2 linked regions of the Caenorhabditis elegans genome follow. The protein of the gene in region 2 purifies or fractionates together with the protein of the main gene of each other region. This does not show direct contact. Each region holds a gene or a part of one and is shown on either strand. Other genes may lie near its edges. The genes, in order: cct-7 and gfat-2.

Evidence for each region.
Region 1: the proteins of gfat-2 (region 2) and cct-7 fractionate together in Caenorhabditis elegans (co-fractionation; one large-scale study listed by BioGRID). This does not show direct contact.

What each region holds. Positions count from the first base shown.
Region 1 is NC_003283.11:1,870,202-1,876,130, reverse strand, and holds cct-7 (T-complex protein 1 subunit eta), read right to left. Parts: upstream 3,886-5,929; 5' UTR 3,880-3,885; coding exon 3,790-3,879; intron 3,732-3,789; coding exon 3,210-3,731; intron 2,653-3,209; coding exon 1,942-2,652; coding exon of another isoform or gene 1,897-1,941; exon of another isoform or gene 1,628-1,896; intron 1,242-1,627; coding exon 957-1,241; 3' UTR 626-956; downstream 1-625. Other genes in the region: T10B5.4 (aralkylamine N-acetyltransferase), read left to right, coding at 4,431-4,631, 4,702-4,940, 5,001-5,115, 5,397-5,555; knl-3 (Kinetochore NuLl), read right to left, coding at 5,770-5,929.
Region 2 is NC_003282.8:11,408,707-11,413,558, reverse strand, and holds gfat-2 (glutamine--fructose-6-phosphate transaminase (isomerizing)), read right to left. Parts: upstream 3,075-4,852; 5' UTR 3,047-3,074; coding exon 2,338-3,046; intron 2,290-2,337; coding exon 1,958-2,289; intron 1,907-1,957; coding exon 1,064-1,906; intron 1,016-1,063; coding exon 812-1,015; intron 759-811; coding exon 714-758; 3' UTR 558-713; downstream 1-557. Other genes in the region: F22B3.10 (PAN-3 domain-containing protein), read left to right, coding at 1-44, 90-235, 285-351.

The sequences.
Region 1 (5,929 bases), on a different chromosome or scaffold from region 2:
TATTAATTTCTGTGAAAAAAGTTCCCGCATTTTTTTGTTGATCAAACCACCGTTGTGGGACATCCTGTCACCACTTTTTGTTTCGTAATTTTTTCATAATTTTGTAATGCTCAAAAGCTCCACCAATTACCCCCCGATATCCCTCACTGCCACCCACACTTATATGTTCCTTTAATCTTTTTTCGAGGCACCACGGTGTCAAGATCCTGTGGGATTCTGTGATCTACCATTTTTACGATGCTCCGATATTACGCTTGTCGTGCGCGTTGTTTATCGTTTTCCAGAAATTTTTCTTTCAAAAAAAAGGACAAAAAAAAAATTCTCAACACGCTAAACAACGCGCGCGATGCGTATAATCGGAGCATTGTTGCCTCGATTTTCAGAGATCTCGTTCTCATAGATCTTGAATCCGTGGTGACTCCTCAAAATTCAAGAAATTTCACTTTTCTCCCCGATTTATATGTAAAAGTAGGTGTTTTTGCGACATTTTATATGCATCTTAATCCCCACCCACCACCCCCCAACTTTGAAGCCGGTATCCACCCCCATCACCTAACTTCTCCGCTTTTTCTGCTTTTTCCGGTAAGGTTTGACCTTCTTTCTAATGGTTCTTTTTTTTTGAAATACTGAAATTAAAATTTTTTCAAAGTGCACTTATTCAAACAGAAAATTCAAAACGAAAACGACGGGGAGCGGTAGAGAAAACAAGCGGGTGGTGGACAATAAATCGGTGGGAAAAAGAAAAATTGAGAAAAAATTTAAAGTTTTTTGCAAGAAGCTATGATGAGAACGTTTGAGAGAGAGAGAGAGACGGGGGATCATAACAAAAGGTTTAATGAAAATGATAGAAAACAAACAAAAATTATGAAGAAAATTAAAAAAAAATTGCGCAAAATTTGAATATTTGAATACAGCAAAAGAAAGCAGCGAATGCACAGAGGGGCACATTGATCTCCTTATTGCCCGGGAAGTCCTGGCATTGCTCCTCCAGATGGTGTACGAACATTCTTCACCGTTTGATCGATCGAAAGAACGAGGCACGCGGCTTCGGTGGCAGCTGTGATGGCGTTCCTCTTCACGATGCTCGGCTCCCAGACACATGCGACAAGATTATCTCCGACGGCTTCACGATGGATGTCGATTCCGGCCCATTTCTCGCCTTGAGCATGACGATGTCTCAGCTTGTTCAGCACGTCGAGAGCATCGAGTCCGGCGTTTTGGCAAAGCTGGCGTGGGATGATCTGAAAAATTTCGGAAATTAGCTTTTTTTTTGGGTGTTTTTGGTGAAAAAAATGGATTTTTTGGTTTCTTCGACTCAAAAATACAAAGAATTTTTTCTTTAAAAAATGTTATGTTTTAGTTGGTTTATTACTTACAGCTTGAAATCTGCCTTAACTAACCTAAAAAACGGGAGAAAAACGACGAAAACCTGCAATTTTCGGGGTTTTGACTAAAAATAGCCAGGTTTTCAAGATTTTGAACTTTCAAAATTCCTTCATTTCGGCACATTTTAAGTTAAGCTCAAAATAGGTCTGAAAGTTAACAGAAATTGTTTAAAATCTTGAAAAAAGGTCAGTTTTCGCAAAAATCATATATTTTGCCAACTTTTCCGTATCAAAACGGCTGAAAATTTACTTTTATGCGATTAAATTGCATATTCTGGTCGTTTTTTCTTCGTTTAAGGCAAATTTAGAGTCAATAGGCAGCCTTACAGCTTGAGGGCTGCCTAAGCCAACAAAAAACTGAAGAAAAACGATAAAAACCTGCAATAAAGATCGATAATCGAATAAAATTTAATTTCCAGCAACTGGAAAACGGAAAAGTTGGAGAAATTAAAGATTTTAGCAAAAAAATCCAGTTTTTCGAGATTTTGAACTGTCTCATCACGAAAATCGTTCATTTCTGCATATTTATACTAGCACCAGTTTCTTCAATATCTACCTCGAAAGCCTGTCCATAAGCCATCCAGAAAGCTTGATCCTTGCCCTCAATACCCTTCGAATGCTCACGAATCAATCGGCTCAACTCCATCTCGATGGCACCTCCTCCGGCGACGATCGAATCGTTCTTCTTGGCACGACGAACAATCATGATAGCGTCGTGAAGAGATCGTTCGGTCTCGGCGATGAACTGCTCGGCTCCACCGCGAAGAAGAAGCGTACATGCCTGAGCTTTTGAGCAGTCCTCGAAGAAGTTGTAACGCTCGCTTCCGACTTGTTGCTCGTAGAATTTTCCGCACTTTCCGAGGACAGAGTCGTCGATTTGAGAGACTGTGGTGAGAACGCTTCCTCCGCATGCGGACATCAAGCGATCAAGATCGTCCTGTGGAATTCGTCCAGCACAGAACATGTCACGATCGGCGAACCATTGGGTAGCAACATCTCCGATTGGAAGTTTCGAGAGAACCACGTTGGCGCCGGAATCGTGAATCTTCTGAAGCTTATCGTAAAGAATATTCCACTCAGCGTCAACGACAGCTTGGAAGTCGGAAACGTTGGTCAGACGCATCTCAGCGTTCTCTTTCTCTGCCTTGAGCTCCAGCTCAATGTTAAGAAGAGCCACTTTGACATTGGAGTACTTCTTTGGCTGCATTTCGAAGCCAGCATAACTGAACGCTTTTTGGAAGGCAACTCCTTTGATGAGACGGGATTCCTGAAATTTTTAAAATTAAATTAAAAATAAATATTAATTAATTAAAATAGAGGTATTTCGCCTTTCCACTGAAAATATGCGGATTTTTCAGCTTAACAAATGTTTTTCCTGCATTTTACTAACAAAGCTTTTGGTAAACAGTGAAAATCGAGTTTAAAATGACTAGAATGAACATTTTTCGTCCAATGGTTGAGGAATGATTTTAAATTGAAAAAAAAATCAACGGGATTTTTCATATTTTCTAAATATTGTCCTATTAAAAATCGGTTTTAAACCATTTGTGACTTAACATTAGGGTCAAAATGGTTTAAAATCGATTTTTAATGGAAAAATATTTAAAAAATAAGAAAAATCCCGTTGATTTTTTCAATTTCTAACCATTCCTCAACCAGTGGACGAAAAAAGTTCATTTTAGTCATTTTAAATTCGATTTTCACTGTTTAAAAAAGCTGCTTTGTTAGTAAAATGCAGAGAAAAACATTTTTAAGCTGAAAAATCTGCAATTTTCAGTGGAAAGACAAAACACCGCGTGATAGACGACTTTTCGATTCACTAACGTGCAAATTTCCTCCGTTGACCTTCTTGATTCCGATCATGTTCAATGGAAGATGAGCATCCAACGTGTTCACAGCATCGACAATCATATTGGCGAAGAAAAGCCGTTCTTGACTGACGAGCTTGCTGCTCAACGTGGTTGCAGCACACTTCACAAGCATCTCACGGAGCTCCGTCTCGCCATTAATTTTGATTTCCAAATCAGCCAAGTTCTTCAGCGTCTTCTCGCAAGCTTTTCCGATGGCGCGAATGAGAAGTTGTGGATGGACACCGTCCTCGATGAATGGCTTCATTTGCTTCAGAATTTCGGCGGCCAAAACGACGACAGACGTGGTTCCGTCTCCGACTTCAGCGTCTTGAGAACGAGCGATATCAACCATTGTGGAGGCGGCCGGGAAGACAATATCCAAAAGCTTCAGAATTGTGGCTCCATCGTTGGAGATCGTCGTGGCTCCCTTGCTATCGACGATGAGCTTGTCGAGGCCACGTGGACCCAAGGTGGTACGGATACTGTCGGCGACAACCTGAAAAATACAGCATTTTAGGCATTTTTGACTAAATTTTAGAATTTTAGAAGCTAACTTGACAAGCGTTGATGTTGGAAATGATCTGACCCTTTCCCTGCTTGTTCTCAGTTCCGTCCTTGAGCAGGATAATTGGTGGGCGCATCATCTTGCTCTGAATTTGAATTATTAATTTTTAAAGCACGAGTATAATATTTTGAAATATTAAGAGCGATTAAAACGAGGGCAGAGAAGACAAAATTCGAAGATTTTGATGTTAAAATGTGTAGAAAGTCTAGAAGTATTATATTAATGAAGAAAATCTGGAAAATTCACAAAGATCCAGATGAAAATCGAGAAATAGTCCGACGAAAATATTCCTTCTCGAAACAATTCCCAGGAGCGGCGCGTGCTTGCGTCGCGGCTCGCGGCCACGGCCACCAGCCACAAATGCGCTCCATTGAGAATATTGCAAAGCAGAGCTCTCAGAAGCTCCATAATCGTCGAGTAGACACTTCGGTGAGGAAGGGGAGAAGTAGAAAAGCAGGAAAAGGAAAATGTCAATACTTGGAAGCATGGGAAATATGTGTGGTGAAAATGCAAATGTAACGCGTGTTGTCTCGGAGGTTCAGAGAAAAAGTGAGGGCTCACAGAGCTCTCGAGGAATAGTCTTTCACTTTTGCTTTCTTTTATTTTATTTTTATTCGCTTTTTTCTGCAAATGCCGGAGCTCACATTCCAAACTGGGCTCCTGGAGCACAAGGACCAAGTTCACAAGTTCCTGGTGGAGCATTTTAGAGTAATGGAGCCCATCACAACTTCATTGAGCTGCTCGGAAGAAGATGTCGCCGAGTTTTTCGTTGATTTGACGATGAGCGGGTTGGAAGATGAGAAAAGTTCAATTCTGGTTTTTGATGGGGAAGTAGGTTTTTGTTTTTTGTTTTTCAGATTTAATCTAGCTTCCCGCAAATTCTAGAAAAAAAAGTGTTCAGGAAATCGTGGCAGTTTGCCTGAATGCCGTCAAAGAATGCTCTTTTGTTTCCGAATCGACCCCATTCAATCCACACTGGGATTTTAACGCAGAAATCACAAATGGCCAGTACAAACACGAAAATGCCAACAAGTTGGTGGCATTCGTGCAGGTTTTGGAGCAAGACTTGTCGTTTTTGACTGGAAATCCGAAAAAAGTCTTCAAAATCGATGTGCTGTGCGTGTCGAAGGCTTGTCAAGGGTAGGAAGCAATTTTCTTCTTTTTTTTTCTTGTTCTCCTAGGGAATTGTGCTCAATTTAGGAAGGGAATCGGAAGACAGCTCGTCGAGAAGAGTCTGGAAAATGCTGTGAAGGAAGATTGCGAGTACGTGGCAACCGTTGCAACTGCTGTGGCTTCTCAGAATATTTTCAGCAAGGATAGTAGTTTCTTATTCAATAAAATTTCCGCTTTTTACGAAAAAAATAGAGCGAAAAGTCAGAAAACCTATAAAAAATACAGTACCCGTGTTTAAAGGCACACACACCACATCGGAAGCGTGGCGAGACCTTTGACCACGTGGCAAGACCAATTGAGGCACCACGAAATCTAGAACCGGTGGGATATCGGATCTGGCCCGTTTCTTTGCGTTGGCACTTGAATCCGTGGTGCCTCGATGAATTTTCGATCTAAAAGCTTCAAAAACTAATAAAATTCCAGTGTGGTCTCACAACACTTCGCGAAATGCCATTTTCCTGTTTTCGAAACAATGGCGACGTGGTTTTCGAGAACCTCGTCGACGGTGGAGTCAGCGGGAAACTAATGGGGAAGAAGCTAGAAAAACATGCAAATGAGGAGGAAGAGGACGACCTTCGATAGCGATAGCAACTCAAATTAAAGAAACATATATTTATAAAGGACCAAAGCAGCTAGGATCTCAACTTCAGATACTCAAAACCAATAATTAAAGTACACGTAATGAAATTGACACTTAATAAGCAAGACCTAGGCTATGAATAAAATATTATACATGTATTTATGAAATCAATTGTGTCAGAAATAGAATATTATACAGAGCGTGAGAAATCAGAAATCAGAATTCAAAAATTGGAATCGGCTTGATTTTGCTCATTAGAGCATCGATTCGCTCGAAGCCCTGCTTGATTTCCTCCCGGCGAGCGAGCGCTTCCTCTTCCTCTTTTCGCATTTTCGCCAGAAATTCATCCTTCTCTCTCTTGATCTTGTTGAGACTC
Region 2 (4,852 bases):
CATGCCAATCAACACCAAAAACAGCTGCATGTATGTCCCCATCTGTAAGTTTTTCCATTTATTCATGCATTCTCTACTTTAAATTCTAGGGTTTCACATTCACTGATCCTCATTTCTTGGGTAATTTCAATTATTATAACTGGACAACAAATGCTGGTGCAAGGGTGGAAAGTGATGATGATTGTCTTGTTCTCGTATTCCCAAGCGTTGGAACTTCGTATGTTGATGTTCGAAGGTAATCTTCGAGTTTTTGAAATTGCTTGTATACACTTTAGTATTTTCAGTTGCACCATAAAAGGGAAATTGCAAGCGCTTGGACTGTTGTGTGTAAAAGATGCGTGGACTGCATGAAAATGGATCATACTTCTACATTTGTTAAGAATTTGTACAAATAATCTGAAGTTTTCTTCCAGAAACTGAAACAGTTGAAATAAATGTTATTATCCAGGTACTAATCTGTCAGTTTTCTCTCCATCTACCGTTTCAATATTAATATTTTTTCTAGTATTTAATGGGTATTCTGAGCTTTCTTGAAATTCCGTGTATAAGACTTGAACTGGAGCACAAACATTTATTTTCGTTTGCTTCGATCATGCAATAAATAAAAGGGAGCATTTTAGATGGGAAATTATCAAAATAGTAACATCATTTAACAGGAAAGACGAGAAAGGCGGTGAGTAGTCATTGAGCAAGGATGTGGTTGACGGATTGGCTTACTCAACAGTGACAGATTTTGCCAAATTGCGTGGTCGGTCCACCTGAAAAAAAAACGAATATTACATTTGCTTTTTGATAGAATGTGAAAACTTACGTTTGCTCCATTGAGCTCAGCAATGTGGTAGGAGAGAAGCTGCAGAGGAATGACCGTGAGGATGTTTTGAACACAGTCGACTGTTCTTGGGACACGGAGAACATGCTTCATTCCAGCGAGATCACTTTCCGGAACGCTGCTATCGGCAATAATGATCGGGGCTCCCTTTCGCGCAACAACTTGCTGAAGAGCATTCAACGACTTCTGAAAATATAAATTTGTTTAAAATAACTCAGTTGATAAAATTGTAACCTTGTAGACATGATCGTTGCATACTACCATGCAGATGCTGAGGAATTCATCGACCATTGCAAGAGGCCCATGCTTCAGTTCACCAGACATGATTCCTTCACAATGCATGTACGAGAGCTCTTTGATCTTGAGAGCTCCTTCGAGACACGTGGCAAAGTTCAATCCTCGTCCCATAATGAGAAGTGACTTATCTTTGTAGATTTGCTCAGCGATCTTCAGTACCTGATCGTCCAGATCGAGAACATCGCGGATCAGAATTGGAAGATTATTGAGAGCATCAATAATCTCTGCACGTCTCTTCATCTTCGAGATGCGATCTTCCGAGATGGTGAGTGCGAACAACAGAAGTGATACAATCTGCGAGGTGTAGGCCTTGGTTGAAGCAACTCCTATTTCCGGACCAGCGTTGATATGAATTCCACAGTGGGATTCGCGACCAATCGACGATCCGACTGTGTTGGTAACTCCAATTGTGAGAGCTCCACGAGGTTTGCAGTATCTCAAAGCCATCAGAGTATCAGCCGTCTCTCCACTCTGCGAGATGAACAAGCACACATCATTACGGAAGATTGGAGTCTCACGATCCAAGAAATCTGAAGCAAGTTCGACGACAACAGGCAGTTCCGACAATTCTTCGAGAACCTGACGGCAAGCAATTGCAGAGTGATATGATGTTCCACACGCAACCATGATGAGGCGACGGCATCGTTTGATAGCTGGAAGGTATTCCTTAAGTCCACCAAGAACAACTTGTCCCGATGGGAGAACACGTCCGCGCATTGTGTTGACAACTGATTCCGGTTGCTCGAAGATCTCCTTTTGCATGAAGGTCTTGTAAGATCCCTGGAAATAAAACAATTTAATACAATATTCTAATTTGGATATTCCACAAACCTTCATAATCTCTTGGATTTCCAACTCGAGAAGCTGAACTTCTCTCTTTTGTTCGCCGCTGTCAGCGTGGCGAGAGATGCGATGAATTGTGAGTGATCCATCTTCAACGAAGGCCACATCATCATCCTCAAGGAACAGAACTTGCTTGGTGTGTTCAATGATTGCAGCCGCATCCGAGGCGATGAAGTATTCAACTTCAAAATCGGTTGAGTCGAACGGACGTGTTGTGGAATTGTTGTCGGGCAGCTTTGCAGATCCACTGGGATTTCTGACAGCGATTGAAAGATCCAGAATGTTGTTTGGAGTCTCGACGAACGATGTCTCTTCGCGCACTGAGAACATTTTCGTTCAATTGAAAATAGAACCATTAAATAACTTACAATGCGTGGCGTTGTTCGACATAAAACAGCGTCCTTTCGAGTAAGAGACTGGGAAATGGCTAGTGTGAAGAGTTGAGTTGCTCTTGATACCAACCAACAGTGGAGATCCGCGTCTAGAAGCCACAAGTTGTCCTGGGAAACGCGATGACTTGAATGCCAAAGCGAAAGCTCCTTCCAACTGCTGGATAACCGTCTCAACTAACTGACGGAATGAAAAGTCGGGATAACGATCATGGACATGCTGTGTGAGCTTTGCGATGACTTCCGTATCCGTCTCAGACTCGAACTTGTGTCCCTTCTTCTCGAGATACTCCTTGATTTCGCGATAATTGGTAATGATACCATTATGAACCACAAGGAACTCGTTGTTGTCGTTGCTGCGATGTGGATGGGAATTAACATCACGTGGTGATCCGTGCGTAGCCCAACGAGTGTGTGCAATCCCGCAATGAATATTGTATTCCATATCCATGTTGAGCTTTTCATTGTTCTCCTTAATGTAGTCGTTGAGAACGGACACCTTTCCTCTCTTTCGGAGCAGAGCAATCTTCGAATGAGGATTTTCGATGTCGTTTGATCCGTCAATGGCGATACCGGCAGAGTCGTAACCTCTGTATTCCATTCTCTGCAATCCTTGAACCAAAATGTCCACAATTTCCGACCGCTTCTTCGGAGCCAGGAAATTGAGGTAGGCAAAGATTCCGCACATTTCGGGAGGGTTAGTTTGTTGAGGCTACCTGTAAAACAAAATTAAGCGTCGAAGGAATTTTATGAGATCCATGAAAACACACAGGACAAACAAAATCAACTTTTAAAAATAAGAAAATGAAGTCAAGTGGAAAAAAACTCACCTTTATAGTCATTTTTCCATCGTTTTTCCGCCAAAAGCCTCAAATGAAATAGGGCAATTTGAGAATCGTTACGAGATCAAAGTTGGAAACATCATGCGCCTTTGAACTACGGTAGACAACATATCAGGTCTGGAACCTAAAATGCTGATTTATATAATATTTATATAAACATCGTGAAAATTAATTCTATAGAAGAATATTCTTAAAGTGTATTAATTGTAAATAAGCCACAATAAGGATTTTTTCTGATACAGCAAAAATGTCAGAAAAATAGGTTCAACAAGTAAATCAGTTCAGAAGACGAAAGCAAAGTGTTATAATCAGGAGTGTAACTTTTGCAAAGGATTTTTTTTTTAATTTATTCATCATGGAAACAAAAAGAATATGATAAGAAAAACATAACCGGTTATGATATTTACACGTGTAGATGAATAAATTAAAATAAACTCGGCCCGACAGAGCGCGAGTTTAAGTGAGGGGGAAAGAGATCAGAATTTAGATATTTGACAATTAACAAGCGAAAGGAATTGTGATGGGGAGAGGAAAAAGCTAGAGTTGCGTACAATGCTATTCCATATTGGCACTACTTGGGAGAAAAAACTACGACATTTGGGATTTTTAATTTTAATGAGCATCGGACGACGAGACGAGTTAGCAAGCGTAACAAAGTCGCTGCTTTTAGGGAAGTGCGCTGCGCCGGTAAGAATTTTGTATAGAAGCAATAGTTGGGCTCTTAGGCGGAGAGAGCGGGCTGATGAAATTCCTAGAATTTTTAGTCGGTTTTCGTAGGATTTGGAGAAAGCATTGTGTGTTTGTGTAGCATTTTTTATTTTGTATTTAATATTGCAGCGCTGTAGGACCCGTTTAGAAAAGTATTTGAGGGGAGATTCTAGTGTGCTTGATAATTTAGATGTTGGTGGAGGGGAGTATATGACTGATCCGTATTCAAGGATAGGGGAAACGTAGGTCTTGTACATACTTATATAGAATTTAGGGGAAGAAGAGGAGAAACATTTGAGGATTTGTTTAGCGCGTAAGAGGGCAAGAGAAGTGGCTCTGTTTATATGGGGTTGAAACGTTAACTTGGAGTCAGTGTAGAGACCAAGGTCGCGCACTGAGTTGGTGGGGGAAACTGTGATGTTGTCAACGGTGTAAACATTTTTAGAATTCTTTTTGCCTAACTGAAGAAGGGCGGTTTTAGCAGGGGCAAGCGGGAGTTGGTTATCTTTTGACCAATTAGCAATTAAGTCTATGGCTGCTTGTAATTCAGAAGGGCTGTGACCAAATAATTTAATATCGTCCGCAAAACATGAGAAATGGACGGTAGGAGGGATTGAGTGTAGTAGATCATTGATGAACAGGATAAAAAGAAGTGGACCCGATACAGTTCCCTGGGGAACGCCAGAGGGTACAGAGTATTTTTGGGTTGAGGTTATACTGTTTACTTTAAGGGAAAATGATCTGTTTGTGAGAAAGGATTCAAACCATCTAGTGTAGTTACTGTGGATACCTATATGTTCTAGTTTTTCGATCAATTTAATGTGGGATACTTGATCAAAGGCCTTGGAGAAATCGAAGAACAAAACGTCTAGGGAATTGTGCTGTTTTAAGATCTCATGATACAGTGAGGTGGAGCGAGCGAGAGATGTGGTGCAACTCCGATA